4 linked regions of the Ovis aries genome follow. The protein of the gene in region 1 purifies or fractionates together with the protein of each later gene. This does not show direct contact. Links are inferred from orthologs where the notes say so. Each region holds a gene or a part of one and is shown in the gene's direction. Other genes may lie near its edges.

Region 1 (7,561 bases):
AGCCACTTTTGTCTGATTTTCCATCTGGTCGCCTGGATGGTGGTAACCACCATGACCCCCAGCTTTTGTCTGATTTTCCATCTGGTCGCCTGGATGGTGGTAACCACCATGACCCCCAGCGGTGGCCTGTCTAGTTCCCTGTGCCTTCCCCATGCTCCTTCTCACCTCGGAACTTTCGCAATGCTGCTTTCTCTTTTACAGAGCTGAAAACAGTGCCTGCAATTAGGTAGGGCCTTCTTAAGGATTCCAGTGTTCTTCAGTAGAGACTCTCGATCCCCACTTCCAAAGCCCTCCACCCCACCAAGTGCATGACATTAGCACCCTGGCCGGGCACGGGGGAGTGTCCACTTTTCTGGGGTGCTCTGTCCTTGTGGCATTTCCCAGAAGCTCAGAGGCTGGCACTTCGGGGTTAAGTAAAAGTCTCTTAGGGGGTTTTGTCCATTTTTTTCCCTCTCTCATTGGCTCTGTGTTCAGATTTCTCTATTTTGTTTTTGTTTAGCTTGCGAGATAACAACATCTCAGACCGAGGCATCTGCAAGCTGGTTGAACATGCTCTTCGCTGTGAGCAGCTGCAGAAGTTAGCGTAAGTCAGGCTGTGGACGTTGGGCCCCGTGTCCCCAGACTCAGCCCAAGCCATGCTGCCTGGGCAGCAACTGTGAGTGAGTGATGGGCTGGGATGTTTGCATGGCCAGAGGGCACAGGGGACTCCTGAGGGAGCCAGTGACCGGGGTTGGGGTGGTCACTGTCCACTATGCTTTATCTCCATGTCTCTTCTCTCTTGGAACTTTCCAGTCTGTTCAACAACAAGTTGACCGATGGCTGCACACACTCCATGGCCAGGCTCCTTGCGTGCAAGCAGAACTTCTTGGCTTTGAGGTGAGCCTGGGGCTTCCCTACTCCTGGAGACTTTCGTCCCCACAGCTGAGTCAGTTTGGTCTGGTCTCGCCCCGTAATGGGCATATGACCTTACCTCGCTGAAAACAAGGACAGTGTCTCGTTCTGAATAGGGCTTCACTGATGCTATGACCTCCCCAGCAAACTCTGGACCATCGCTGCTGAGGCTTCCTGCTGTTTGACCTTTAGCCCCCAGGACTGAAGAGGGTTTCCAGGACCTTTTTTCTTCCTTGTGTCTCAGAGTGTCACTGGCTGTCTGGGGTGATCCATTCCTTGATGGTACACTCAGCATGCATTGGGTCGGGGTAGGAATGCAGCAGTCACTTGCCGCCACAGAGGCAGCTAGTTGCCAAAAAAGGTGGGTCCAATGCTGAGCGTCCCTGGTGGCTGACACAGTAAAGAACATGCCTGCAATGCAGGAGACATGGCTCCAGTCCCTGTGTTGGGAATATTTCCTGGAGTAGGAAATTGCTATCTACTCCAGAATTCTTGCCTGGAAAATTCTGTGGACAGAGGAGTCTGCTACAGTCTATGGGATCACAAAGAATTGGACAGGACTGAGCAACTAACACTTCACTTTCTAGTCTGGAAAGGCTGAGTTTCTGCTGCTCCCCACCCTCTCAGCCTCAAGGGGAATCTCTTTCCCATCTGACACCATTGCATCATCCCCCAAGCTGGTCCATGGGTTGGCCCAGCTTCTTTTTCTCTTTGAGATGTTCTTGCCTCCTGGGTTTATGAGGCAGGGTGGTGGTGGTTCATTCGCTAAGCTGTGTCCAACTCTTTGTGACCCCATGGCCTGCAGCACACCAGGCTTGCCTGACCTTCACCATCTCTTGGAGTTTTCTCAAACTCATGTCCATTGAGTCTGTGATGCCATCCAACCATCTCATCCTCTGTCACCCCCTTCTCCTCCTGCCCTCAATTTTTCCCAGCATCAGGGTCTTTTCCAATGAGTTCTTCACATCATGTGGCCAAAGTATTGGAGTTTCAGCTTCAAAGTGAAGAATTGCTTCCATGCATTTGGGGGTGAGCTGCCATTTTAAAATTGTTGACTCCGTCTCGGGCAGGGCCACTGAGGCCAACACCAGAGGCACCATTCTGTACTGAGGACTCTCTTCTGCCTCCACCACCTGCCACCCTCAGCTCAGGAAGCCAAGAGCGGCTGTGGCCAGAGCTGGGCTGGTGCAACCTCCAGGGAGGGCTGTAGGGTAACAAAAGGTACTGCTCCCAGAACTTGAGAGGTCTGTGTTTTGGGTTAGTATAGCATCTCAGTTGAGAGCAGGGCCCTGGAGCCAGACTGACCAAGGTTTGGATCCAGCATCCCTGAGACCTGAATCCTCACAGTGACTTCTGTTTTCTGTGTCTCTGTTTTCCCTTCTATGAAATGGAGAAAGTAATTACAGCTCATAGCTCATAGGTAGTTGTGATGATTAGAAAGTGAAAGTTGCTCAGTCATGTCCAGCTCTTTCTGATGCCATGGACTGTAGTTCATGAAATCCTCCAGGCCAGAATACTGGAGTGGGTAGCCTTTCCTTTCTCTAGATGATCTTCCCAACCCAGGGATCGAACCAGGGTCTCCTGCATTGCAGGCGAATTCTTTACCAGCTGAGCTACCAGGGAATCCCAAGAATACTGGAGTGGGTAGCCTATCCCTTCTCCAGGGGATCTTCCTGACCCAGGAACTGAACCAGAGTCTCCTGCATTGTAGGCAGATTCTTTACCAGCTGAGCTGCCGCGGAAGCCCTGTGACGATTAAACAAGTTAATATACATAGAAAGCTGGCATAGTATCCCAGGTTCTTTCCATAGTGGACTTAGTGCCCTAGAGATGGTGGATAAATCACATAAGTTCTCAGCGTGTTGATCCTGTTTGTCCAGTCCTCCAAGGAAGGATTTGCTGGGGGAAATCCCTATGGGGGGAAATTGGGAAAGGGAGCTGGAGGGGGAGGCTGGGAGAGCCGCAGGTCTGACCGTGAGGGAGAGAGAGAGGGAAGGAAGGTTGTCAGGAGGAAGCATCTTGGACCCCAGTGCAGTTTGGAGAGAAGACAGAGGCTGCTGGGGAGTCCTCCAGCCAGTGTGCCTGACAGAGGAGGCTCAGGTCTCCCAGTCCTGGGCTGGGAGCAGCCCGTGGGAAGCAGGCCTTGGGGCAGAGGGAGCACTGGACTTGCCAGCACAGCAGCTGGGGCCCTTGGTCACCCAGGAAGGTCAGAGGTCTGTCAGCTTAAAGTGAATGAAATTTCTTTGAAAGATGAAACTGGCAGTATTATTCCAGGAAGCCTGGAGCTGTGGGTGAGAGTTCCGGGGACCTCCCTGAAACTCTCTGAGGTGCCCGAATTTTGCCGAAACCCCCTCCTCCGCCCTTGCCTGAAGGCTTAGCAGGATCCCTTTCTTTCTTTCAGCCACCAGAGCGCCACCCCCCAGGCACTTTCAAAACAGGTAGATGCCACCTGCAGCCACCGTGGATGGGGCAGGCTGCGGGAGGAAAGCAGGGTCCAGCGCCCGCCCGCAGTCAGAGGAGAGGGTGGAGGAGTGAGTCACTCTCCCTCCCTGGGGAAGCCACCTCCCTGGACTGTCGTGGTTCCTGCTCCTACCTGTCACAGCGCTTTGCAGAACAGGCCCTTGCATGCCTCTCCCCTTGCTGGTGGAAAATGAAGTCGCAGGAGCATTCAGTGAGCCCCCGAGCTGCAGCAGCACACGCCGCGTCTCCAGCTGGAGCTGGAGGACTGGTCCCTGTTTCTCTGCCTGGGCCACACTCCCTGTGCACCCCCCTCCCCAGGCCCGGGTCTTGGGGCCCAGTAAGGGTCCTCCTGCCCCGCTCTCTGTCTCAGTCTCTCTTCTGTCTTCCCTTCCAGGCTAGGAAACAACCACATCACAGCCGCGGGAGCCGAGGTGCTCGCCCAGGGTCTCAGAACTAACAACTCCTTGCAGTTTTTGGGGTAGGTGGGATTCTAGGGTAGAGGGGCAGCACGCAGGGGTTGAGGGCTTGTGAGGATTTAGGAGCCTGTGAAACCAACTCTTCAGCCCCAAGATCTCCGAGACAACCCCCACCCCCTCACCCCCCCTCCCGCCTCCACCCCCCCTCCTGCCTCCACCCCCAACTCTCGCCTCCACCCCCTGCCCAGGCTGCAATGGGGAGGGAGAGCGTGGGCAGCCCTTGTTGCCTCTGCCTTGCTTTTTGCTCAATAAACAGGAAGCTCAGGATGTCAGGGTTGGGGGAGGGCAGAGCCCAGAGCAGTGGCAGGAAGCCCTCTGGTCCTCCAGAGCGCTGGAGCTGTGTTTCTTACCTTGGTCTATATGTGGGAACCACTGGGCTCCTGAAGAAGGCCACTATCTGCCCCAGGCTAATTAAATGAATTATCTACATGCAAGGTCTGGAATCAGTAATGTAAAAAAGCTTACCAGATGATGTGCAGCCTGGGGTGAGAGCCAAGGAGAGAAGGAAGTGGGGAAGTTTGGACCCTGGACCTTGGATGGGAGGAGGCTGCACCAGGTCCTACAGAGCCCTGGCTTCCTGTGGGGTCATGCCAGGCAGGGGAGAGGGGTCGGACACAGGCGGGAAGGGCAGTCCACAGACCTCCGGGCCCCAAGTGGGGCTTTCTCTGTTTGCTGGGCAGACAGGCTTGTACCTGTCCAGTCCCCTGGAGCTTCTTTCCTGTTCCATCTTGCCCTGGTGTAAACTAGGGTCTATTTGAAAACAAAACAAAACAAAAAAAAAAAAGGGGGGGATTTTAGAACCCAAGACTGTAGGAAGAATGACTTTAGAGCCTAGGTGTTCCAACTCATTTTACAGACAGGCAAGTTGCCCGTGGGCTGTGTTTGAGCCCCGAGTGGGACTGTGTTGCTGGAGAGATAAGACCTTGTCCAAAATGCATTAGTAGCATCACAGAGTCTAGGAGAGGGTGGCCGCGGCCCCCACTGAGCTCCTTCCTTCTTGAGATCACATCTGGGGTGTTTAGCTTTCAACACCTGTTTATGAAGGTACCTGTCTGGTCTTGGTCTTGTGCTAAAACCCTCAAGCACTATCACGTGATACAAACTGTTATGTAACTTGCTTTTTTCTTAACACTGTATTATTATACTGTATTATAACACTGTATTATTTTGTTCATATCACATGACCTCACTTTTAAAAAGAATAGCTGCTCAGTATTCCAGTGGTTTGATGTCGTGATGTGTTTAGTTGGTGTCATGCACACTTTAGGTTGTGGGCAGGTTTTTGCTATTACAGTGTCACACCCTGGAGTGTAGAGTGGTGCTGGCATGGGGCCAGAGCTCAGTAAGTGTTCACCTTATGAGTGAAAGTGCAGTGAGCATCCCAGTCCTCTCTGCCCATGTGGGCACCTCCGGGTCCATCCTCACTTCCCACATGGGAAATGGCCAGGTGCCAAAGTATGAGCTGGGCTCCATCTTTGAAGGGGGTGTTTCCCAATTAGGGTGGGTCTGAGGAGGAGAAGCCAGAAGGTGAAGGAGCTTGAGGCTCCAAAGGAACTGGAGGCTCTGAAGGAACTGGGGATATAACAGAGGAGCAAGAGATGAAGAACTAGTGTTTGGAAGAAGAGTTCGCCTTCTTCTGGGTGGTCCTAGAGATAGCGAGGGACTCCTGGGTGGCAGTGAGCACAAGCAGGTCTAACCCAATGTCGGAAAATGTCACAACTGTGACTTGGCATTGAGAATGAGTCCCCATCCCTGAGAATATGCACTGGGTGGGCCTCTAACTATTTTGAAAGTCTGATTTAAAGAAACCAAAAAGTCTAATTGAAGTTTTTCCATCCCTCCAAAAAGATGGAGGCAGGCTCACTTTGCTGGGACCTGAGTCCCCCTGAGACCTTTCTGGGACTGGGGAGTCCTGCTCCTCTGCCTGGGGCTGCAGAGAGGAGGGGCACGTGTCTTGAACACAAAGCAGGTTCTCACTGACACTGTTTATTCTGTTGAACCTTTCAGGTTCTGGGGCAACCAGGTGGGTGACGAGGGGGCCCAGGCCTTGGCTGCAGCTTTGGGTGATCACCAGAGCTTGAGGTGGCTCAGGTAAGCCTCAGAGTTCGTCCTGCAGTTGGTGGGGGAAGCCAGTGTGAGGAGGGAGGAGCTTGGGCCAGTTTTGAAGGTCTGTGAACTTTATTTTCACCCCACTGTGTTAGATAACGGGATGAGAAGGAAAGAGCACTGGAGTTGAAGTCAGGACACCGGAGTCTTGCTGGGTGACGTTGGATCCCTTTTCCTCTCAGGAGTCTTGATTCCCTGTCTGTACTCAGAAGATCTTGGGCTGGATCAGATAGTTTAGTCGCTCAGTCGTCTCTGACTCTTTGAGATCCCATAGACTGTAGCCCGCCAGGCTCCTCTGACCATGGGGTTCTCCAGGCAAGAACACTGGAATGGGTTGCCATTTCCTCCTCCAGGGGATCTTCCCAACCCAGGGACTGAACCTGGGTCTTCCACATCTTCTGTGTCTCCTGCATTGCAGGCGGATTCTTTATCCACTGAGCCACTGGGGAAGCTCTGGACCAGATACACTTTTTAAAAATCATTGTTTCCTTTAGGCTGTCCTGCGTCTTTGTTGCTTTTCTCTAGTTGTAAAGAGCGGGGGGCTGCTCTCTGGTTGCAGTGCAGGGTTGCTTTCCTCTAGTTGTAAAGGGCGGGGGCTGCTCTCTGGTTGCAGTGTGGGGGCTTCTCTTGTCGTGGAGCACGGGCTCTAGGGCACGCGGGCTCAGTGGTTGCTGCACGTGGGCTCTAGAGCACAGCCTCAATAGTGTCATAAGGGCATATGGGATCTTCCTAGACCAGGCATTGGACCCGTGTCTCCTGCACTGGCCGGTGGAGTCTTTACCACTCAGCCGCCAGGGAAGCCCTGGATCAGCTACACTTTATCTCAAGAGTCAATTCCAGTCTGTTAGTGGGAGCTGCTCAGCAAACCATGTTGGGAAGGATTCTAAAAAACTGCTTCTGGACTTAATGAGAAAGAGCACTGCAAAGGATTAGTCTGAAATGGAGCAGACCAGGACTTGTGGCAATGTGTGCCGTGCATTTTGCCCTCCTTGAGTTATCTTTGAGGTCCCTCACTGCTCTGACATATTTTTGTTTTTTGACTACATCCAGCCTGGTGGGGAACAACATTGGCAGCGTGGGTGCTCAAGCCTTAGCATTGATGTTGGAAAAGAATATGGCCCTGGAAGAACTCTGGTGAGTTTAGGGGATTCATTTCACTAGGGAAGCAGACACCAGCCTTTTTTCATTCTCTGGCCTCATCTGTGGAAGCTGATGTGTGTATAAGACAAAGATGGATGACTGAGTGATTGGGTGATTGTGTTTGTCTTTGTCCTAAGTGGCATGAAGTTTATAGAGCCTGGCTAATTCTTTTCATTGAATTTTTCAAGCCAGTATGATTGGTCTGTTGGTTTGTGAGCTTCCTCCATGGCATATAATAGTTCAGAGCACAGACTCTGGAGTCCAGCAGGCTGAGCTTCAAGTCCTGCTGTGATCTTAAGCAAGCTAAGTAACAGTATCTGAATCTCAGGTTTCTTACCTGTAAAATAAGAGTATGGATGCTTTCAACTATTACATACTTTTGTGAGAATTTAATGAGATAACACCTGTAAGTAGCTTTGTATAGTGTCTGGCATATGTGTAAGTGCTCCATAAATGTGAAATTGTAATAGGATAGTGTCTCAATGGAC
Region 2 (8,176 bases), on another chromosome or scaffold:
CCTTTCAAACAGCCTTTGCCTGTGATGTGTAGCCCCACTTTCTAGCTCTGTTGCACCCTTCTCCTGTAATAAACCATACAATTGTAAGAATTGTCATGGTGGGTCCTCTGGGTCTTTTTCAGCAGCCCAACTAGCTTTAACTACTGGGACTGTCAGGAAGGGGAGTTGTGGCTGCTTGTTGCCTGGAGATTTTTGAAAGCAGTTGGACTGTAGAGCTAAGCCACACCAGCATGGTAGGAAAGAACTGAAATGTGCCACCTAGACAGGAGACATCTAGACATGAGAGAGGCCCAAAGGCTGTCTCATTTCAAAGCCCACGCTTTTCATCACTTGTCTGTACTCCTTTCTGTCTCTTTGTTAGGGATTTCTGTCACAAAGGGAGTCTTCCTGTTTCATAACCTTGTCTCTCTTCTCAGAACTGATATTCAGAATATTTTTTCCTTCTTCCCTCTGTCCTCACCTCCCTCTCCTGTTCCCTGCTGCTGCTGCTGCTAAGTCGCTTCAGTCGTGTCCGACTCTGTGCGACCCCATAGATGGCGGCCCACCAGGCTCCCCCGTCCCTGGGATTCTCCAGGCAAGAACACTGGAGTGGGTTGCCATTTCCTTCTCCAATGCATGAAAGTGAAAAGTGAAAGGGAAGTCGCTCAGTCATTTCTGACTATCCTTATTCCTTTCCCCTTCCCTTCTTCCTTCTTTCTCTTCCCTGCTTCTTTCTGTTTTTCATTTATGTTCCTCCCTTCTTCCTTTATTCTTTTGTTTTTATTTTCCTTCCTTCCCTTCTCCCTTCTCTCTCTCCCTCCCCTCTCCCTCTTCTTTCATCCTTCCTCTTCCTCTCTCCCTCCCTTCCTCCTTCCTTCTGTCTGTCCCTCCCGCCCTCCTCATCTACCATTGGCTTTCTCCCATTGTCTGTCCTGTCATCTTGCAGTCCTGGGTCAAAACCTTGCTTAACCTTCTACTTCACAGTATCTTGGAAAAACTGGACCCAGAGTTTCATCTTAACCTCCTGCCAGAAGCATAGCTGGAAGAGCATGGAGAATGCTCCCTAGCCCACCTCCCAAGTACCTGACAGACAGTGTGAGATAGCACACCGAGAGCCTTGCCCATGAGAGGAAAGTGAAGGATATTTTCCATGGATCTCCTTACAGCCCACCCCCCAAATCCATGCTCCACTTTTTTCTACTGTGCCCTGTGCCCCAGGAGGCTACCCCTTTCATAGTCTGTATTACATGAGCTCCCTTGCCCTCTGGCTTCTGGTTAGGTTTGGCCAGTGGCAAGCACTGATGTGAGATTAGAGGGTGAGAAGAAAGAGAAGTTAAGGTATTTATTCTCTTTGTCCCCTTCTTGCCCAGCCCTGGTTGTAGAAAGGGACGTTCCTCAATGGCCACAACTGCTCCCAGGCAGCCTTCTTGTTGTACTCCATCTCTCATCAGGCTCTAGTTGTGCCTCCCTCTCTTTGCCTCTTCTGCTTGAGGGGTGATAATGACTTCCTTCTGAGGCTTCTCCAGCACACTTTAGCATCCCTTATTGCTTCCCTTATTCTTGCCCACATCTTCAGTCAAGTCGCCTCAGATAAATCCTTTGAGTGTGTCATCAATTTTGTTGTTGCTGTTTAGTTTTGGGGGGCTTTTCATTTTGTTTGGGGTTTGTAGTTGTTTTTCAGGGGAATGTGTTTTGTTTTGTTTCTCAAGGGGTTTGTTTTGGCTTTTTGTTTTGTTGGGGGGGGGCTTTGTTGTTTGTTTTCTTTTTAGGCTGTGCCCTGTGGCATGCAGGATCTTAGTTCCCCAACCAAGGATCGAACCCGCACCCTCTGCAGTGGAAGCACAGAGTCTTAACCACTGGACTGCCAGGGAAGTCCCTGTCTGCTTTTTTTTATTCCAGGACAAGAAATTCCTTGCCTGGCAATGAATTCAATCTGCCCTAGAATGGGGGCCAGGACAGTGCCATTTGCATTGAGCCTGGGGCTTTCCTCCCCATTAAGTGACAGTACATCAGAGCCATGGACTTGGGTCCTAGAAAAATAGACTAATACAGATCTGAAGTAAGGGTGCAAAAGACATTTATTCAGGCTTACAAGGCTCTTGGGATTTTTGTGGAAAAGGGAGGTAAGAAGGCCAGGCTTCACTAGGACTACCAGGCCCTAAACAAGGAGGATGGTACAAAATCACTTCTACTCCTGGCACATTGGCTGGTCTACAGGGTCAGAGGTGCTCTGAAACACATACTTCATGGCAATAAGCAATCATATCTGAAACAGAGAGAGTGAGTCACTTTAGTCCTTTGTAGGGCGGTGAGAATACTGGGTGTTTCCTTTGCTTGCATTGTTCCCAAGTCAACTATTTGGCATCCTTCATGATCTTCTGGAATGTCCGTAATCACTAAGAAAATGACTACTGTGGGTCTCCTGGTCCATGTTAATTGTTCCCATGGCCAGAATTCAACCATGTCTGGGCATGTCTTTTCATAACCTGGAGGGGCAGGCAACACAAAGATATTTTTTTTGCATCAGTATCAAATTGCTCAGGACACCTGTGTAAAGGAGGTTTGCATGAGCACCTGGGGAGACATGAAAATAAAGAAGATGGTACCCAGAAGATGCTGGGATGTTGATTCCCTTGCCCAGCCTCAGAGACACATGTTTGAGCCCTATATGGAGAAAGGCTAATGGCATAAGCTGGTGGATCTGGTTCCCAGCAGAGATGTAATAACGTGGGAGGGGAGCACTACCCTGACACCTGATCATTTGCAGCTTCAGTGATATAAGGAGCCTATACTCGACACAGATGTTCTGTGTGATGAAAATTAGGAAAAACTTGGAAGTAAGGCAAAAGGATGTCCTTTCCATGTCACAGTCTAACAGGCTGCCCAAAGATTATTTGTCTAGAGGAATATGTTTTGCTTGACTTACTATTTACTACTGATTACAGTCAAGTCTCTCTGAAGTCTCTATTAACTTGCAGACTGTTTGTAGAGATGCAAATGCTTCTGTCAAATAGAAATGACAGCCTCCAAGCTAACAGTTGTATTTCCCTGTAGGACATTAAACAGTATTGTATTGAAATCAAACTTCATAGTTTTACTTTATAATTATTTCTTTGAGTGCCTATATGCACTTTCTTTCAAGTTCTCCTTTGTTTATTTATTTGTTGTACTGGGTCATCATTACTGTGCAGTGGCTTCTCTTGACACAAAGCGTGAGCTCTAGGGTGTAGAGGCTTCAGTAGTTGTGGCTTATGGGCTTGGTTGCCCCAGCATGTGGGATCTTCACAGACCAGGGATTGAACCCATTTCCTCTGTATTAGCAAGTGAATTCTTAGCCACTGGACCACCAGAGACGTCAAAATTCTCCTTTGAATCAACTTAACATACTGCTGTCTCCTCATTAATGAATTAAATATTTATAGGGGCTTATTCTATATTTTGTATGTCACATATTTTTAAACATTTGTATTAGAGTTTAGCTGCTTTACAATGTTGCATTAGTTTCTGCTGTACAGCAACGTGAATCAGTAATATGTATACATATATCCGCCCTTTTTTTTAGATTTCCTTCCCATTTAGGTCACCACAGAGCACTGAGTAGAGCTCTCTATGCTATACAGTAGGTTCTCCTTGTCACATTTTCAGTTTTCTAAAAATTATACTTTGACAGTGGACACGTAGCTATGGCAAAGGTGAAACACTCTTCAGGTGTTTAATTGAACAGTGGATATAAATGAGAGGGCTGAGGCAAGTGAGGAGGATGGTGGGTGCCATAAGGTAACAACAGCTGAAAGATAGGTTCGTGAGGATGTTAAAAATATCCCCTGGGGACTCCCAGACATGACTTGGTGAAACAAACGTTTTACCTAAAGTTCCTGATTTCATCTTGATTGTGAAGGCAGAAGGAACTCAGAAAAGGGAAGCTGTCCAAGTTTCACTGAGACATTATTTCAAAACCTTTTCATGGAAACTTCTAATTGGATATCCTTTGGCCAGCTTGAACTCATGTCTAAAACTGTACTTCCTTTTCCACTCAAACTTATTTCTACCATTTTCCCCACTTCTTGAATGGCAACTCTTCTTACCCAGTCCTTCAAGCCTGAAACTGAAAAGTCATCCTGGACTTCTCTAGACTCTACGTATAAAATCAACATGGTCAACGTAAATAAAAAGGTAAACGGAGACAGCCTCAGTTTACCAGAAATTTAGTTTATTTGGGAATAGCAGAGAAATTGCAATTCAAGAAATGCAAGCTGTATCAAGCTACAGGTGAGTCCCTTGAGGGTTCAGGGTGGGCTCCATTTATGGGCAAGGAGTGCAAAGAGGAGGATGTCCAGCCAGAGCGCAAGCAGCAAGTTCACTGGCTTGAGGATGGGGAGGGATGTTTGTTGGTCAGGAGATAAGTCTCTGTCCTCTGGAAGTCAGGCATTTATGGGAAATCAGTCTCTTGGTTAAGTTCCATTCTTCTGAGGACACATGCCTGAGATTCTCTATTTCCAATCCTCCAGTTCCATTTCAGGTTGAAACCCTCTCACAGTACCCAAGTCTTAACTAATTATATCTCATAAACATTTTCCCCTTCCTGCTACTGTTTTGTTAATTCAGTTCTTTATCACCTCTCGCTTGATTAGCCTCCTCACCTGACTTAGGTTTCACCTTTCTTATCACTCATCCTGCCAGTCTAGTTTATACAATGTTGCCAGTTTCACCTCATTAAAAAATATTATAATCATGTTACTCCTCTGATTAAAACCCTTCAAGGGGTGGGGGGAGACTTCAAGGGAAGCCAGTGTAGAAGTGGAGTTGATGGAATTTGATAACCAAGTGAGTCAAGCAATCCGGGATGTGAAAAGACTCTTCAACGTTTTTACTGCCTATAGGGTAAAGTCCAGTCCAGGCTCATAACACTAAGGCAATTTACACCTGCTCTCAACTTACTTTATCAGTCTCATCTTCAGGCCCTCCCTAACAAATACCTTATACTATGATTATATCGCACTTCTCACCATGCTCTTCATGCTTCCTAGTCTTTCTGGCCACTGTTCCCTTTGTCCCAAATGACCTCATCTCTCTTCTCTGCTAAGTTCATTCCTATTCACCTGTCAAACTCCTCCAGGTGGAACTCACTGGTGTCTCCTTAAGTTTGGCACTATAGATGCCTTAATCCTGACACTGGTAGCCCTTGACCAGCTTACCAGCCAACTGGTGGTCACAACTCAATGTCCTCCTCCACCATGTGACAACGAAAGGCAATATCTGACCCTAGACAGGCTCCTGTACTGGGGTGGGGTAAGGGAATACTTAAAGGACATTATTAGGTCAACTGCTAAAATTGGAATATGGGATGATAGATTAAAGTGTTGTATCATGGAAATTCCCTCATGGTCCAATGGTTAGGATTCTGCCTGCCACTGCAGGGGGCAAGGGTTCAACCCCTGGTCAGAGAGCTAAGATCTCACAAGCTGTGTGGAGTGGCCAAAAATAATAAAGTGTTGTATTAATGTAAATTTCTGAAGTTGATAATTGGATTGTGGTTAAAGTAAGAGAATATTACCATACTCTTCAGAAATATGCACTGAAGTATTTAGGGGTGAAGGGCAATGATATATAATTCTCCCCAACAGTTCAGGAGAAAAGATAGAGAGAAAGGTAGATCATACAAATGATAAAGCACATGGGGTAAAAAGTTAACAGGTGAATCTGGGGTAAAGATGTTTGAGGAGGTCATCAGGAGGAAATGACTGCCAGTTGACCCTGGGATTGGACAAGCAATGGGAGGCTTCTTATCCCCTCCCCTGCTTGCTTGGAATTCTGCCCACTGCTCCCATGCTGCTGCTGCTAAGTTGCTTCAGTCGTGTCCAACTCTGTGCGACCCCATGGACGGCAGCCCACCAAGCTCCCCTGTGCCTGGGATTCTCCAGGCAAGAACACTGGAGTGGGTTGCCATTTCCTTCTCCAATGCATGAAAGTGAAAAGTGAAAGTGAAGTCGCTCAGTCGTCTCCGACTCTTAGTGACCCCATGGACTGCAGCCCACCAGGCTCCTCCGTCCATGGGATTTTCCAGGCAGGAGTACTGGAGTAGGGTACCATTGCCTTCTCCAACTGCTCCCATAGCCAGAGGTGATTCAAGGCCAGAGCTCTGAGAGAGTGAGGTATTGAGACCACCTGGACTGAATAAGTGACTGAGCCCAGTTTGGGCCTCTGTGTAAACTTTTAAGATTCTGGCAGGTGGGTGTGGAGATGGGTTTGTTTTGGGACCATCCAAGATGAGCCTCCTATGTAAGTTTCCTAACTTACAAAACCTCCTCCTACCAGTCTGGGGTGGTCTGCCTCTTTGGTCTCTCCTCGCTTCTGAGGATAAGGCGCCAATCTCAAATTTCACCTGGGGAGCTCCAGAGGTTTTGAACCGACAAAAGGGTTTATAACTGTTCTTTAAACTATTTCTTTAAAAAAAAAAATGTATTGGCATCTAGTTGCTTTACAGGACTTCACCAGTAATGAATCCGCCAGCAGTGCAGGAGATGTGGGTTCGATCCCTGGGTCAGGGTTCGATCCCTGGAGAAGGAAATGGCAACCCACTCCAGTATTCTTGCCTGGAGAATCCCCATGGACAGAGGAGCCTGGTGGGCTACAGTCCATGGGGTCTCAAAGAGTCAGACACGGCTGAAGGAACTGAGCGTGCGTGTGTGCATAGTTACTTAACAATGTTGTGTTAGTTTCTGCTGTACAGCAAAGTGAACCAGTTATACATATATCCCTTCATTTCTAGATTTCCTCCCCATTTAAGTGACCACAGAGCATTGAGTAGAGTTCTGAGTGCATGCATGCTAAGTCACTTCAGTTGTGTCTGACTCTTTGTGACCCCATGGACTGTAGCATGCCAGGCTCCCTTGTCTATGGGATTCTCCAGGCAAGAATACTGGAGTGGGTTGCCATGCCCTCTTCCAGGGGATCTTCCCAACCTGGGGACTGAACCCACATCTCTTACATCTCTAGCACCACCTGGGAAACCTAGAGCTCCTTGTGCTATAACAGAAAGTTCTCACTAGTTATATATTTTATACATTATATATATGTATATAAAGTCCATATATATGTATGTGTGTGTGTGTGTGTTTGTGTATACAGTCTTCCCTGGTGGCTCAGCTGGTAAAGAGTCTGTCTGCAATACAAGAGTGAAAGAAAGAAAGTGAAGTCACTCAGTCGTGTCCAATTCTTTGCAACCGCGTGGACTGTAGCCCACCAGGCTCCTTGTCCATGGGATTCTCCAGGCAAGAATACTGGAATGGGTTGCCATTTCCTTCTCCAGGGGATCTTCCTGACCCAGGGATCGAACCTAGGTCTCCTTCATTGCAGGCAGATGCTTTAGCTTCTGAGGCACCAGGGAAGCCCAGGAGACCCGGCTCAATCCCTGGGTCAGGAAAATCCCCTGGAGAAGGAAATGGTAACCCACTTCAGTATTCTTGCCTGGAGAATTCCATGGACAGAGGAACCTGGTGGGCTACAGGCCATGGGGTCACAAAGAGTCAGACACAACTGAGTGACTATATATATGTCAATCCCCACCTTCCAATTCATCCCACCCCTCCTCTTTATACTAGTCTTATTCTAGCATTCTTGCTGTATGTTTGAAATTATCTCCAAATAAAAAAAATTTAAAATCATGCAATAATACCTTTATCAGAGTACTTATATTGTGATTGTGTCTCCACTAGCCTATGAGCAATCACAGATATGGACTGCTGCTGCTACTGCTGCTGCTACTGCTGTTAAGTCGCTTCAGTCGTGTCTGACTCTGTGCAACCCCATAGACAGCAGCCCACCAGGCTCCCCCGTCCCTGGGATTCTCCAGGCAAGAACACTGGAGTGGGTGGCCATTTCCTTCTTCAATGCATGAAAGTGAAAGTGAAGTCACTCAGTCGTGTCCGACTCTTAGCGACCCCATGGACTGCAGCCTACCAGGCTCCTCCGTCCATGGGATTTTCCAGGCAAGAGTACTGGAGTGGGGTGCCATTGCCTTCTCCGAGATATGGACTATGATTCATCATTTCCAGGGAGCATGCCTTCACAGGACAGGACAAATGGTAGGTATGCTATGCATGCTTATTAATTGACCATAAGCATTAGCAAATGCATTCCCTGCAAAGGGTGTACTGATAAGGGTTAATCTCCTGGGTGATGTGTTAGAGGTTCAAGC
Region 3 (8,299 bases), on another chromosome or scaffold:
GAAGGATTTCTTTAGTAGCATTTATTCAGAATTATTTCATATTAATCATTTCTTTTAGGAATATATATGTTCTCTATACAGATTCAGAAAAGTAATAATACCTTCAAAATGAACCATAAAACACAGTATATAGTCTTTACATATGCTGTCTCTTGGATCTTTGAGCCCATACATGCACGCTTTTAGATAGGTATACAGAAAGAACCTGAGGACCAGATTATTTAAATGACTTGTCAAAGGTTAGGCAGTAATTCCACAACACAGCTAGGATTGGAGCCAAGTTCAATATTACTTCTTCCATGAATTTCTGCTCCTCCGTGTTGAAGGAGCCTGAGGCTTGAGAATAGGCATTTGATCTGAATCAGTATCAGGTAATCAGAGTTACAGATCTCTAGTTGTTCATCAGTTGGACAGTCTGTGAGATTATATACAAAATATTGAAAAAATAATGGTTTCTAATATATTTAACTATTGCCCCACCCACTCAATTGACCTGATAAATCAAGTTCACTTTGCTTTTTATTTCATATATGTGTTTAATTTTGTAAAGTATAATTTGTGTTAGTCTTGAGTCTTTGTTTATAATAAGCCAAAAGCAAGACCTGTTTAGAAATTAAAGCTGTATAACTTTTTAAATAATTTTGCATTAACATAAATAATTTATCTTCTATTTATTTTAGGAATCATGTGGATCCTCTCAGCTCCATAAAACTAGTGGTTCTCCTGGAACCTCAGTGTCCCTGTCAACTCCTCAAGACGATGACTTTTTATCTGGTGTGTATATTTTTCAGTCAGTTATTACTTACAAGTTTTCAATTTTCTTTCAAGATCATATTCTTGCAGGTAGTCATGGTTCGTATGGAACATGTCTTTCGTTTGCATTCATAACTTATTTTTTAAAAGTGACAGTCTGAAGATGTAAAAATAGTAATGGGATGTTAAATACATTTAAGTATAAAAAGCATTCTGTTAGACACTACAGAAATATTTTTTTTAATATCTTATAAGAAAGAACAAAAATATTTCTCAGTCACCATAGTATTAGATAAAAAGCAATATATTGTATGAGATATAGGGATGTAGAGCTATGGTAGTATAGTGGAAAAGTAACATTTTTTACAAAGTACTTTCACAACAACCTTGTGAGGGAGATATTCCTCATTTTACAGATTCTTAAGATCAAGACTGCTGGATCACATAGTTAGTAACTGGCAAATCCAAGATTTGAACCCAGGTCTTTTTGATAAATATTTTCATGTCACTCTACTACACCATGTTGTCATCACGAAGAAATTATTTCTGGCTGAAAGTTGGATCTGTAGTTATAAAGGATGGGCATTCCAGGCAAAAGGAGCTACATAGAGGCAAAGAAGCAAGAAAACCCAGAGAACAGTGAGTAGTTGGGTCTAGCTGGCGAAGACGGTGAATGAAAGGTCATCAAAGATGAGGAGGGTGGAGTCATCAGGACGAATTCTAATACTAGGCTAAGCCATTTGGACTCATTTGCTTGAGTAGGAAACAACTATTGCAAATTTTTGAACAAGGGTATGTGTGACATGATAAACTTTTTTGCTTTAGAAAGATTCATCCTGGCTGGAATATGTAGGATATTTTGGAAGGGAAAGGAGATTCGAGGTGGGGAGCCCAGTTAGGAGACTGCTGCTGCTGCTGCATCGCTTCAGTCGTGTCCGACTCTGTGCCACCCTGTAGACAGCAGCCCACTAGGCTCCCCCATCCCTGGGATTCTCCACACTGGAGTGGGCTGCCATTTCCTTCAATGCAGAAAAGTGAAAGTGAAGTCGCTCGGTTGTGCCCAACTCTTGGCGACCCCATGGCCTTCAGCCTACCAGGCTCCTCCGTCCATGGGATTTTCCAGGCAAGAGTACTGGAGTGGGGTGCCATCGCCTTCTCTGAGTTAGGAGTCTATTGGTCTATTAATGTACTCCATGAGAAATTATGAAACCTTCTCCAGAGTATAAGAAGCGGAGAACGGTGTGAGAAACATTACAGAGGACACACTGATAGGACTACAGCTTTTCACTTGTAGGAGGGAATAGAGAAAAAAAAAGATGAACATAAAGCTAAAGCTTTGAACAAGTTTAGTTGGAAGAACATTGGTGCTATTAACAGAAATAGGAGTTGAAATGAGTTTTAGAGCTAAGATGAATAATTTTTTTTAACTTTTTACAGTTTGAGGTGAACATGTAAACACAGGCACATATGAGGGTTATATCCTGTTGAAAATCCAAGACTTAAGGTTCAGTGAAGACAGAAAATTCAATTACATGGATTTGGGAAGAGAGGTGACCATTGAGACGTTGATGTTTAATAAGATTGCCAAAGGAAACTGGCAAGACATATATATAAATTCACCAGACACGTTTGAAGTACGGAAGGGGGAAGATGACACAAAAGGAAAAATATGATACGATATAAAGAAGTAAAATCCTATGATTTATAATTTATATAGGACAGACAAGCACAGACAGAAATATGGTTTAAAAAAAATTCATCATAAACCTTTTTGATCTAAAAACTATTTACTTGTGAGTTAGGTTTATGGATGAGCTTATGCAATGAAAATGAAAAGACAATTAAATTCCACCCTCTGTGTGATCCAGACATTCATATTTTAGCTAATAGGAATATTCTACCCCTAATGGAGATGTTGTGTTTTATAGGAAAAACTGAAGATTTCTCTGCGCTGTGTCCGTGTTCAGTGATTCACAGTCAGGACAGAGACATCTGTGTGGATCATCGGGCAGCGTTCTGTAACCACAGGACTGCCCCATGCTCTTCAGCAATAGTGAATCCTCTCTCAGTTGAGGGAAACTCAGGTAAATCCGTGCTGTGAAACGCTTTGTAAATGATGCCGTTTACCTCACAACTGTGCTATCCCAACTGTATATTCAATAGATACACTATTTAATGTTCAGTATTCTTCAGTATGTTATATATGTACTGTAAATAGGGAAGCACTCCCAATCCCTGAAGACAAGAATGTTAACATGTAAACACAGGCCTAAATGGTATTCCATGAACGTCTATCTAGGGAGGGAGGGCTCAGAGGAGGTGTGACTTAATATGTCACTAAAGTTAATATATTTTTATTTATCAAATATTCAAGTATCCTTTATGTTTAAAAAAAAAATCTGAAAAAAAGTTACCTTTGCCTCCATGACCTACAAAGAGTAAAACTGCAGTGCATTTTCTTGGAGGGGAAGGGAGGAGATAACCCAAATATCAGATTTGTTCCTGAAAATTAATAGCATCCTTCAAAATAGTGCTGTTCCATATTAGCATAATTACAGAAAAATTAGATTTTATGTCTTATTATTTTGTTTATCATCTGATTTTACTCATAGCTATGTATCTGTCCCCACTTTTTTACCTGTCATTGCTTTTCTACAGGGCGATTTCAGCCTGGTATAGCCCAACAGTGGATCCAGAGTAAAAGGGAAGACATTGTGAGCCAGATGACTGAAGCCTGCCTTAACCAATCTCTAGACGCCCTCCTGTCCAGAGACTTGATAATGAAGGAGGACTATGAACTCATTAGTACCAAACCTACAAGGACCTCAAAAGTCAGACAGTTATTGGATATCACTGACATTCAAGGAGAAGAATTTGCCAGAGTGATAGTACAAAAGTTGAAAGATAATAAGCAAATGGGTCTTCAGCCTTACCCAGAAATACTTGTGCTTTCTCAATCACCATCTTTAAATTTCTTTCACAATAAAAGCCATAAAAAGTAACTCCTTCCAAGAAAAGAAGTCAGTGTATAAACAAGTAATTTATATTTTTTTTTGCCTTGATAAAGTTGTTTTCATGAGATTCATTTGAGTATTTAAAACTTTAATGCAGTTTCTTCTTCAGATAAATATTAGTTTCCTTCCATGATATTATAGTATTTTTTTAATTAATACAGTAGAAAGTTTGTGTTTTGCTGCACAGTTCAATTTTTATCTTTGGTTAATTAAAATATTTTTTCAATTAATAATTATATGTTTCTTATACAAAGTAATGTTTTCAGGTTCCACGTGTTTCTCATGGAAACCATTTTCACATACACTTTCTTTGTGGATTATTTGTTGTTTGAGATGCTTGGCTTTTTGAAGTGTACCCCTTAGACTTAAATCAGAGGTAGTATAGCATTCTTATCCTACAGTCTTGGGTTCCAGTCCTCTTCAGAGTTGTTCATTAAGCTCTGTTATCCACATTACACATTTAAATGTTATTTATTGACCTCTTTAAAAGATTGTTTCAAAGATAAAGGAGTACAGCGTATAAAGAAAAACAATCCTTCAGCATGTGCTTTACTCCTGTTTCTAGCCTGAACTAACAACCAAGATAACAGCCAAAATTAACAGATTGATATGTATCATTCTATCGCTTTCTTCCTGTTCATATTTGAAATATATGCTCGTTTGGGGAAGGATTGTTTCTTAATATTATCATTGTTATAACACATCATACTTCAACCTGATTTTTGCATTTAGTACATCATGTGAAGCCTTCCAGATCACATTCAAGCTTAATTAATAAGTTTTGATTGCTATATAATATTACTAGAGCTATTTTTTTTTTCATTTTCTTGTTCAAATCAATGATATATACAGTGTGAGGTGTTTTGCTTTTTTTTTTTTGGTTAATGGGTTATGTCACTAAGGTGAAAACTAATAAGGAATAATAGCCCTTTTCTGAAAATGTTTATTAGCAATGTCAGCAAAAAGTGTGATATAAGATAAATTTGAAAGGACAAACTTTGAAGTTGGGCTATACAGTATGACCCACGGTTTGAAAAAAGTAAAATCAGTAGATGTCATTGAGGCAATTAAATGTTTTATTAAAATAGGTATTTTAGTCTCCATTTTGGAGCTGGGCCTCTGGTGCCTCATTACTATGTCTCTGAGAAATATGGCAGTTACTAGGGAAAGGCAGAAACCACGCATATGAGCTATCTTTTATTATATCTTATTTTTAAAGTGTCTGGATAAAGATTTAATTTGGGAAATGAGGGAGAAAATCATTTGGAGGTTTTCCCCTTTATACAGTTTTTTTTATTATTTTGAATCTTGATGGCTTCAAATTAACTTTTATCTCAGTTTAATGATGTGGTATCTGGATTGATAAAGTGAACTTCGCCCTGGGTTTTTCTTTTTGTTTGTTTTTTGTTTTTCATTTTCTGCCCAGATCTAAAAACTCAAGATTTCCAGTCTGTATGCTTAGGACTACGTGCGTATCAGCCACTTTCTTCCCTAACTTAATATATGGGAAGCACAGATACAGTCGTCCATTTCAGCTCTGCAGACTTTTTCTGCATGAGTAATAACAACGTATTGACGAAGATGGTGATGACAAGGATCAAGATGAATCTACAGTGAGCTCTCAGTACCTAGTAGAATTGTTGCAGTCTCAGCAGCCAGTTTCCATTATACTAATACCTGATAATGCAGTGATGTTTAGGGGAAGGTGCCACAGGGTATTCTGAGTCTGACCTGTCGGTATAGCACAGGGCCTGGCACAGACGCTGTCTGAATATCTCCTCAGTGAATGTCACTGGAATGAAAGCTGGAGAAGAGAGAAGGAAGAGGTTTCCTTGAAATCACACTTCCAAGATGTAATGCGAACACAGCTGGTAGTGGATGAGATTGCTTTAGGTAGTATGCACACAGCACTAAATTAACATTTTAGTCACATAGGAAGTTCTTTTTAGTCAAATCTTCTAGTTAAGTAAAGGAGAAAGTTAAAATTGTGCTATCATCCTTTATCCCCTTTAGTAAAAAGAGAGGACTTCAGGAACAATGTTTAGCAGGAATTTTGTAACTTTGAATTGTTTTGTAACTTTTTGAATTCATTTGAAGATGACCTACATGTGTCACCGTTTTTCTAATCTATTTTTTAAATAGGTAGTAACAGGTAATGCTCACGCACTCTGCACTATATGTTAAGGCAGTGCTACCCAGAAGATTGGTCTGCAGAGCAGCTGCATGAAAATCAGCCAGAACTTGTGAAACGTACCAACTCATGGTCCCTAACTCACTCAGATCTTTCCTACCACTCAGACTCAGTCTCTGATGTTTGAGACCTTTTGTTTTAAGAAACAGAGAGAAGGGGATCAAGATGACAGGGGGGTATGGAACTCACTTCCTTCCACAAATATTAATGCATAAAAAATACATCTACCTGTGAAGCAATCCTTGCAGAAGACGTACTGAAAGTCTGCAGGAAATCTCATACAACCTAGGCTACAACTGAGACCCCCAGATAACCAGGTAAGATAAAGGGGAGAGGGAGGAGAGGAATCTGGACAGGATCTGCCTGGAGAGAACTGGGGAAATATTTCCTCATCCTGGGAACTTCCTTCACTGGCGGGGAGGTCTGCCAGGACAGAGGAGCTTCAGAGGCAAGTGCAGAAGCTGCCCTATACACCAAAGGATGAAAAGAGCCCAGCACTGTCAGTCTGATGCCTCTGCACACTTCCCCGCCCCAGAGACACACCTGTTGCCGTGCCCAGCTACTCAGTGCTGAGACCTGCGCTTCGGCAGACAGACCAGGGGAGGGGACTTGGTCTGGCTGCACAGCCAGCCTGAGGGCCTGGGGTGTGCACGGAACCGTGTGGGTCTGCTACAGGAGCCACGCTGTCGACAGAAGGCAGGGACAGGGTGTGGGTCCAGCGGAACAGCGCCATTATCAGCTTGCTCACGGTGGGGCAGGAGCCAGGTGCAGCAAGTTTAGCAAACAATGGGTGTGAACACTTGGAGGCGGGGCTGGTCCAAATTACTAGCATTCCCAAGCTGGGCACAGGAACCAGCTTCTGCAGGTTTTCATGCCAGTGACTGTGAGGACACACGCACGTCCAAGCCAATGATGGCACCCCCACTCACCCCCACCCCCCCCCCACCCCCCGCCATGGAAGCGGGCACAGAGGACCGGCCAGCAATGGTGGTCTTGGTTGGCATGCACACCCGGTGGCAGGTGGCATCACAGAACCGCATTTACTAGCAAAACAACTCTTGGGGAGAAAATGCAGTTGCTTCTTTCCCAGAAGGAGCCCTCCCGTCCTGTCCATCTCACGGCTCAGCTTAAAACTGTGCTTGAAACTTGTGTAACAACTGGGCAAAAGATCCTACCCCCAGCAGGGTGGTGACAACCACAAAGAAGAGCTCCTGCCCCAGGTTCGTTGCAAGCACCGGTCACCATGACCCTGGCCACACCCGCGAGCAAGGGAATAAGGGCCAGCGCACCCTGAGGAATACGTGGCAAGCATCCACACTGAAAACAGTGCTTGCACCAAAAGTCTGGGCTCATACAGTCTCAGTTCAGTTCAGTTCAGTTGCTCAGTTGTGTCCAACTCTTTGCGACCCCGTGAATCGCAGCACGCCAGGCCTCCCTGTCCATCACCAACTCCTGGAGTTCACTCAGACTCATGTCCATCGAGTCAGTGATGCCATCCAGCCATCTCATCCTCTGTCATCCCCTTCTCCTCCTGCCCCCAATCCCTCCCAGCATCAGAGTCTTTTCCAATGAGTCAACTCTTTGCATGAAGTGGCCAAAGTACTGGATTTTCAGCTTTAGTATCATTCCCTCCAAAGAAATCCCAGGGCTGATCTCCTTCAGAATGGACTGGTTGGATCTGCTTGCAGTCCAAGAGACTCTCAAGAGTCTTTTCCAACACCACAGTTCAAAAGCATCAATTCTTTGCCGCTCAGCTTTCTTCACAGTCCAACTCTCACATCCATACATGACCACTGGAAAAACCATAGCCTTGACTAGACGGACCTTTGTTGGCAAAGTAATGTCTCTGCTTTTGAATATGCTATCTAGGTTGGTCATAACTTTTCTTCCAAGGAGTAAGCGTCTTAATTTCATGGCTGCAGTCACCATCTGCAGTGATTCTACACAGGGTCAAAAAAAAAGCCTTTCCTCACAGGGGATTGAAACACAAAGTCAAGAGATTCCCAGAATAACAGGCAAGTTTGGCCTTGGAGAACAAAATGAAGCAGGGCAAAGGCTAAGGAATTTGTCAAGAGAATACTCTGGTCATAGCAAACACCCTTTCCCAACAACACAAGAGAGAACTGTACAAGTGGACGTCACCAGATGGTCAACACCGAAATCAGACCGATTATGTTATTCATAGCCACAGATGGAGAAGCTCTATGCAGCCAGTGAAAACAAGACCGGGAGCTGACTGTGGCTATACCACGCAAGAAGGCAAAGTAGTTGTCTGAGGAGGCCTTACAAATAGTGGAGAAAAGAAGAGAAGGGAAAGGCAAGGGACAAAGGGAAAGATATG
Region 4 (7,561 bases), on another chromosome or scaffold:
AACATGGGCACTTTGGGTGGCCTGGCTGGGAGATGGGCCCACCGGGGAACTGGAGCCCACGTCCTCCTCAGGCAGGGGAGGCCCACCCTGGCCCTGCCACGGAATCAGGTGAGGGTTGTATCTGCTGGCCTCTGAAGGATGAGATGTGAGGGCCTGCAGAGCTGGAGGGCTTTCCCTGTGCCCTAAAATCCTGCATGCCTGTGGCTGGCCTAGGCACTTTGTGGCCGTTTGTGCATTTAATCCTCATAAAATCCTGCAAAGTGCAAGCATCATCTCCATTGTACATCTGGGAAAACTAGTGCCTCGGTGCTCAAGGCCACTAATGCACCTGCCCCGGTGGCCCTCCCATGCAGGTGGGAGGCCCCTCCAGCGCCTGCGTCTCCAGTCGGCTCTCTTCTTGTTCATGCTAATTGTTAGGAAAGTCACAGCCAGGTTTGCTCAAGTCTTGTAAAACAGTTCCCAAGTTAAAAATTTACACATAGCTTGCATTCTGAACTTTTAGATTCTAGTTTTATTCTGATTTTATTAGTATTACTATGTCCTTTGACTCACCTTGTCCTTAGTGACAAAGATGAGGGTATTTGTTTGAGTAAATAATGCTTTTTCCGGGGGAGGGGTAAATAATACATTATACTCTGTGTACAGAGTTTCTAGGCACCAGGAAGGTAGATGAAGGGGGAGTGGTGTGAAAGACAAAGGGGCCTAGGAGGTGGCCTAGAGAGGGGGAGAGAGGGAAGCAATAGGGTATAGGCTGCTGGGAACAGGCCCCGGGAGTAGGGCTTCTGGGACAGACAGGACTGTGACAGGTTTCAGTCATTGAGAGAGATGCTTTGAATTAAAAGTATCTTTTGTTTTTTGAAACCAAAGCCTCTGGTCCATCAGAAGATCCCAGTGTGAATTTCCTCAAGAATGTAGGGGAGAGTGTGGCGGCTGCCCTCAGCCCTCTGGGTAAGTGCCCCTCCTTTGACATCAGCAGAGCGTTTGGTAACCAGTGTACAGGCGGCTGTTCTGTGGCTTTCAGCTGGGATACTGCAGAGGAGGGGCAGCTGATGTGTCTTTGAGACCAGTAAGGATTCGCTGGCCTCATATCAATCAGTCTTGACCAAGTGCTGCACCACAGGCCGCTTGAGGTTGAACTCCCTGACAAATTCTTTAGCTTTCCACACAGAGTGAAGTGGAATCAGCCAAGAATCAGCCAGCATTTGGTTGGGTAATCCCACTAGGGAGGGTAACCAGGCTCAGTTTAAGGCTGCCCTTCATCTTCTTCCTTTGGAAGACCACTCTGTATTTCTCCTTACTTGAGCCTTGGGGTTTCTTTGAGGACTTCAGTGAGTAGTTAGCTGAGATGCCATATTGCTTTTCTTCCCTTTTCTGCAACCCCCAACCTTTCCTGGTGCTTCCTAAGAACTGGGCTTGTGCCACTGTCAGAGGGAAAGGAGTGAGGGAGGAAGGTTCTCGTGTCTGCTGCTGGATTCCCAGGGTGCAGGCCCAGGGTGGGTGTCTGGGTGGGTGAGCTGTGCACCTTCATAGAGTGACTTGGCCCAAGGCTAAAAATAAAACTTCAAACAGCACTTGCTGTGTTGTGGCCATAAGAATCAGCTGATGAAGGTGACTTATGATGGATCCATGATGCCATCTTTGTGACTGCAGTGGCAGGAAGTGTTACCTGGTCTGTCCAAAAGTGGTGTCCAGTGTCTGAAAGAATGCTGTAGGAGGGTGTCCAAGCTCACCCACCACCCGCCCTGTGGCTCACAGAGCATGACTGCCATTGCTTCCAACCTGAGACCATTTCTGCTCACATTGAAGCAGCTTTGAAGTAGCAGTGACATCTTGGCATCACTGCTACATGAAATAGATCTCACACAATTTCTGCATTGGAGTTAAAGACTTTTGAGCAAGTGAGGAAAAATAATTAGTATATTTAATGCTTTCTAAGGAGGGTAACAGTGGAGTAGAGATGAAATAATTGGGAGATAGGTTATTCCTAAACTCTGCCACTCACTTAAGACATAGTGAAGACATAGTAGGATTTTAAGTAATCCCAACTAATGGGTTGTTACTTAGAGGCCATGGAAAATTTTTCTTCGGAAGATAGTAAATGGACAGTGGTTCTCAAGTGCACTGAACATCAGAATCACCAATGAAAGGTTGATTTTTATTTTTTGTTTTTGTTTTTTTATGGGAGGGTATATATTTTGGTGTATGGAAACTCTTAAAACTGATTATCCTGAAGAGAAAAGTTTTCTTTTGAAAGAATGAACAAGATAACTTGGGAAGTCACAAAACCACATCTACATTCAGGCAGGAGACTGTAAAACAGTGAGGAGTTCCAGGTCCCTTGATTGGTTAAGTGGATTTTGGGTAGGGCATGAGGGTCGATGTGTTCTGAAGGCTTCCCAGGAGACTGTCACACTTGCTTTCCATCCTGAGACCCATCTGAGCTTGTGAAGTGTTTCAGAACTGGACCTGGATTCTCCACTCAGGACACAAGGGAATAATTTTAGAAGTGTTCTGAGGTCTTCGGCAGTAAGAATTAAGGCTCTCAGGTCTTTCAGAGTGGCGGGAGTGCTTTCTGCTAACTTGGGAGGAGTCTGGAACCCTACAAAACAAGTTTCAGTGGAATGTGTGTTTGAGTAGCTATTCAAGAGAGCCATTCGAGGGATGGATTAAACTCTGTCTTTGGAGTTACAGGTATTTTCCTTTCTTTTGAGGAACTAACAGGATAACTCAGTCTACTAACTGCTTAGAAGGGAACATTAGTTCCAACAGCAGGGGCCCAGGAGGGATATAACCACTAATACCTCTCAGAGGGCAGTCTGTACAGTGAGTCAGCGACTGAGACCTTTTTTTGATAAGTGCTGTGAGAGCCAGCTGAGCAAGAGCATGAGCCCAGGGCTGTACCTGGCTGGAGGTCACAGCCACTGACTCCTAGGATGTAAAACAGCAGGGCCGTGGAGTCTTCCACAACCCCTACATAGAGGCTTTGGGGATAGCAGGGCAGAGACTGTGGTACAGTCTTCTAAGCCCTGAAGTCTCAGATTATCATCAAGTTGGAAAAACTCTAATTCAGTAATCTCGAAAATTCATTACAGAAGAGTCGCATCATTCACCCATTTTAGAAAGTATATGGGTATCCATTGTACTGTTCTTCTGTCTTTTCTGATTATTTGAATGTTTCACAATGAAAACTGCAGGGGAAATGGAAGAAGAAAAACAATGTAAATATTGCAGATGGGGTACCAGTTGCTAAGCCTGCTTTTATTTTCTCTGCTTGCTCCTCATACTCTACTAAAATAATAGTGAAGGGGTTAAACAAAATAAAGCAACATGGATAAAGAAAAAGGGAAAAAAATAATGGAGGACAAGATAAAACAATCTCATCAAACTTTGGAAGATGGAAAATGGATGGAGGAAAGTAACCAAGGTGGGATAATTTGAGGATTAATCCTGGAGGCCCAACATAGGATGAAAGAATTCCAGAGAGAACAGAGTAAACTGAAGGGAGGAGATGAACAAATACAAGACAGTCTCTCGGCACTAGGACCATTAACCTCTGGATTAAAAAGGGCCCCAGATGCCTTGGACAAGGCCTGAAAAAGACCCCACACCAGAGCTTAAAATTGTCCTGTCAGAACCCTTGGGACAAAGAGAGACTCCTGAAACTCTGAAGGCTGCTGTAAAAGCTTGGGAACTTAAGGAGCACATTAAGAGCTAGAAGACACTGACTTCAAAAGTCTCATCTAAAACGGATTTTCAGCCTCGAATTCTGTACCCAACTAAAATGATCAAGTGTGGGAGCAAAAGAGTTGTCAGGAGTGAAACTGACAAGGTCATAATCTTCTTACCTGGGCTTGAACCGTCTCTCTGGCCAAAATAAACAAGTCCAGAATGAAGAAAGAGGTACTTGAAAATGGTACCCAACAGATGAGAGAGTGCCCGCGGTAGTTGCCAGGGTGGAAGGAAGGGCATAGGCGCTGTGCCTCTGGTTCAGAGAGCTGCCTGTCCAGGCTGGAGCTGGAAGCTCCACGCCTGCCTGGGATGGTCTCCAGGGGGAAAACCAGAATGGATGGGGTATCTGATACACTTAATCTGTGTAGAAAACGCTATAGAGAAGCTGTGAGAGAATATGGGGAAAGTTACCAAGTGAAAAAGAAAGCATCATTACTGCTACAGATACAGAAAACTCTGAGGAAATAAGCCCACTCCTCAGCCAGCAAAGAACACTGTGTATATAGTGGCACTACCATAAACACTGAATACAGTTTTTACCACAAAGTGAGTTTTTGAAAGGACAGGGGAAGTGTCGATCATCTAGAGTTAGAAATCAATGGTAAACCTAAGTAGTCAGGAAAGACAGAAGCAGCACGTTGTCAGTTAAAAGTTGTCTCTGGAGGGTGGGCCAGGCTCTGTGGTGGGGGCAGGGAATCTATATTGCTTTTTAAATTTTATTGAAGTATAATTGATTTATAATGTTAATTATGCTGTATAGCACAGTGATTCAGTAACACATATATGTATTTTCCATTGTGGTTTATCAGGATATTGAATATGGCTCCCTGTGTCATACAGTAGGGCCTTGATGTTTATCCATCCCATAGTCTTAAATTTTTTTTAGTTTATATGTGACTGCACTGGGTCTTGGTACGTGCAGGCTTTCTTCGGCTGGGGCACGTGGGGGCTGCTGTCTAGCTCTGCATAGGCTTCTCATTGCAGTGGCTTCCCCTGTGAAGCACAGGCCACAGAGTGTGCAGACTTCAGTAGTTGGGACCCTCGGGCTCAGGACTTGCAGCTCACATGCTCCAGAGCACAGGCTCGGTAGTTGTGGCACACGGGCTTAGTTGCTCCAGGCCAGGGATCAAAACCATGGCCCCAGCATTGGCAGGACGATTCTTAACTACTGAACCACCAGAGAAGGCCCTGTTCTTTTGAACTTGCTTCACTCTGAGACATGGGGTGTGTCCTTGGAGAAAGTAAAACGAATTATAACATGAACCCAGTGAGTGTGCCCTCCCTTCCCTTCAGTGAGCATGTGCCCAGAGTGTGAGAGATTGGAGGTGGACATGCTGTCTCACAGGTCTCACACAAAGCTTGCACGAGCTGTCTGCCTGCCCGAGCAGGGGTAGCGTGTTCAGCGTGTGTGTTTTTCACATCGCTCGGCCCCTGCACGCAAGTAGGGTGCCTCAAGTGAGGACAAGAACGTCCTCCGCACTGCGGTGCAGCTGCTGTCCTGCCCAGTGAGGGGAAGACAGTCTGTTTCTGGACTTTGTGGCTCTGAAGCTGACCTGGGATGTTGCTGTTAATCAAGTTTTTGTTTTCCCCCCCGGCTTCTAGGCATTGAAGTCGACATTGATGTGGAGCATGGAGGCAAGAGAAGCCGCCTGACCCCCTCCTCTGCAGGCAGCTCCAGCACAGAGGAGAAGTGCAGCTCTCAGCCAAGCAGCTGCTGCTCTGACCCCAGCAAGCCAGACAGGGACGTGGAGGGCACAACACAGTCTCTGACGGAGCAAATGAATAAGATCGCCCTGGAGTCGGGGGGTCAGCCTGAGGCAAGTGCCCCCCTAACACATCCAGAGCTTCCCCCAGCACGAGTCACAGCACCTCCCTGGCACTCACACAGCCAGCAGAGCCCGTTTCCGTTGCAGAGTGGTTGGTGGCATTTAAGTTGTCCTGTGAGCCCTCCACTAGAATTCTGTAAAGCAAAAGGACTCTTGCTAGTCCTGCGTGCCCTGTCTCTCGCAGAGTTGAGGCTGTGGTCCGGTGGCCGGCTGTTCTCATTCTTGTGCTCACTGGGGGTCTGTTTCAGGAACAGATGGAGTCTGATAACTGTTCAGGAGGAGATGATGACTGGACTCATCTGTCTTCAAAAGAGGTGGACCCGTCTACAGGTGAACTCCAGTCTCTACAGATGCCTGAATCTGAAGGGCCAAGCTCTCTGGATCCTTCCCAGGAAGGACCCACAGGACTGAAGGAAGCTGCATTGTACCCACATCTGCCACCAGGCAAGGGATTTCAGATAGTTCTGTACTACTCCCTTTTCCATTCAGACATCCTATCACTTGCTTCTAGCAACGCAGACAGGCATTACAGTCTCTACTGCAGGGCTTGTCTATTGATACAAGAGAAATCTAGGAGTTGGTTTTGTCTCCTCTGCGTCTCTATGAGCCTTAGTAAGCTCAGCTAGTTTTAGTAATTTCTAAAACGTAGCGCAGACCTGGAATTATGAAGGCAGGTGCGACGTGGCGGCAGCACTGGCTTCGGGCGCTGCCGTGCGCTGCTGAAAGTGGACTCGGAGCCCATCTCCACTGTCTGCTCGTGGAAAGTGCTGGTCTTAGGCGGGGGCCACAGTCACGCTCCCAGTAGCAGCCAGGCAGGGAGCCACCATGTAGAGGGGGTAGTGTGGAAGGCAGGAGGGCTGCGTGGGGAGTGTGGCAGCCTGGGGACACACACTGAATAAGTGAGGCCACTCACACCCTGCTCTGGTCCATCTCTGTCACATGGCAGAGACATTTAAACCATTATTCAGGTGGAACCCATCTGTGTGCCACATTCAGCCCTTGGGCTGCCAGTATTTATCTTCTCTGCCTTGAAGCAGGGAGTGGCAAACTATGGCCTATGGGCCAATAATGACTTTGTCATCTTTATGATGGTTGGAAGAAAGTCAAGATGGGAAAATGAGATGAAACTCAAATCTGTATTCATAAATGTACGTTTTACTGGAATATAGACACACTAATTTTTTACATATTGTGTGGCTGCTTTTATACGTCAACAGCCGAGTTGAATATTTGTGACAGAGACCAAATAGCCTGCAAAGCAGCTTAAAATATTTACTCTTGATTTTTACAGAAAAAGCTTGACAGTCCCTGCCTTGGAGGGTCCCTGTGAGGATTAGACCTTGTGAAAGGGCCATGTACAGGCACATTTGGGGCACAGTGCCGCCTCCTCATAGCTGTTGTTACTCTCTCTGGCAGAAGCTGATCCCCGGCTGATTGAGTCCCTCTCCCAGATGCTATCCATGGGGTTCTCTGATGAAGGCGGCTGGCTCACCAGGCTTCTGCAGACCAAGAATTACGACATCGGGGCTGCCCTGGACACCATCCAGTATTCAAAACACCCACCACCTTTGTGACGATGTCTGCTCACACATTCTGTGTCCCCTTTCTTGTCTCATAGTTGTGTTGAGTTAGTGTAGAACCCCAGTGCCTCTAAGTGCCAATTTCTCGTCATTCTTCTTTCAGAATCGGGGGGTGGGGATGCACAAAGCCATTTAGGGCAGTAAGAGCAAGTGACATGGGGGGAGTTCCAAGTGTGTGAGTGCTGATTCTGAGAAACGGATCAGTTTCCCGTGGATGTCTGGCTCCTTCCAGCTAGGGGAGCCCCCCTGGGGCAGAGCGAGAGACTCCTCGCTGGGGAGCACGTGGAGACCGTACTGCATCCTGTCCGCACTCCCCCTGCAGGATTATACCAGCAGTCCAGAGTAGATCTTGCCAAATGGCTTCCTGCTTTTTCTAATGACTACACTGATATGTAATTGATATTCTGCTAGAAGTTTGATATCCTC

What was found.
Region 2: the proteins of NOD2 (region 1) and XIAP purify together in Homo sapiens (affinity purification with western blotting; 3 studies listed by BioGRID and IntAct, with this or other methods). This does not show direct contact. The link is inferred for Ovis aries from reciprocal best matches to the Homo sapiens genes NOD2 and XIAP.
Region 3: the proteins of NOD2 (region 1) and RIPK2 purify together in Homo sapiens (affinity purification with western blotting; 12 studies listed by BioGRID and IntAct, with this or other methods). This does not show direct contact. The link is inferred for Ovis aries from reciprocal best matches to the Homo sapiens genes NOD2 and RIPK2.
Region 4: the proteins of NOD2 (region 1) and SQSTM1 purify together in Homo sapiens (affinity purification with western blotting; 4 studies listed by BioGRID and IntAct, with this or other methods). This does not show direct contact. The link is inferred for Ovis aries from reciprocal best matches to the Homo sapiens genes NOD2 and SQSTM1.

What each region holds. Positions count from the first base shown.
Region 1 is NC_056067.1:18,632,995-18,640,555, forward strand, and holds part of NOD2 (nucleotide-binding oligomerization domain-containing protein 2), read left to right. Parts: intron 1-499; coding exon 500-583; intron 584-792; coding exon 793-876; intron 877-3,745; coding exon 3,746-3,829; intron 3,830-5,834; coding exon 5,835-5,918; intron 5,919-6,983; coding exon 6,984-7,067; intron 7,068-7,561. UniProt on the Homo sapiens protein: Pattern recognition receptor (PRR) that detects bacterial peptidoglycan fragments and other danger signals and plays an important role in gastrointestinal immunity.
Region 2 is NC_056080.1:107,803,310-107,811,485, forward strand, and holds the start of XIAP (E3 ubiquitin-protein ligase XIAP), read left to right. Parts: upstream 1-4,026; 5' UTR 4,027-4,248; intron 4,249-7,694; 5' UTR 7,695-8,008; coding exon 8,009-8,063; intron 8,064-8,176.
Region 3 is NC_056062.1:86,799,090-86,807,388, reverse strand, and holds the end of RIPK2 (receptor-interacting serine/threonine-protein kinase 2), read left to right. Parts: intron 1-680; coding exon 681-774; intron 775-2,681; coding exon 2,682-2,837; intron 2,838-3,411; coding exon 3,412-3,755; 3' UTR 3,756-5,151; downstream 5,152-8,299.
Region 4 is NC_056058.1:1,195,641-1,203,201, reverse strand, and holds the end of SQSTM1 (sequestosome-1), read left to right. Parts: coding exon 1-108; intron 109-867; coding exon 868-948; intron 949-5,331; coding exon 5,332-5,546; intron 5,547-5,803; coding exon 5,804-5,999; coding exon of another isoform or gene 6,000-6,181; exon of another isoform or gene 6,182-6,971; coding exon 6,972-7,129; downstream 7,130-7,561. UniProt on the Homo sapiens protein: Molecular adapter required for selective macroautophagy (aggrephagy) by acting as a bridge between polyubiquitinated proteins and autophagosomes.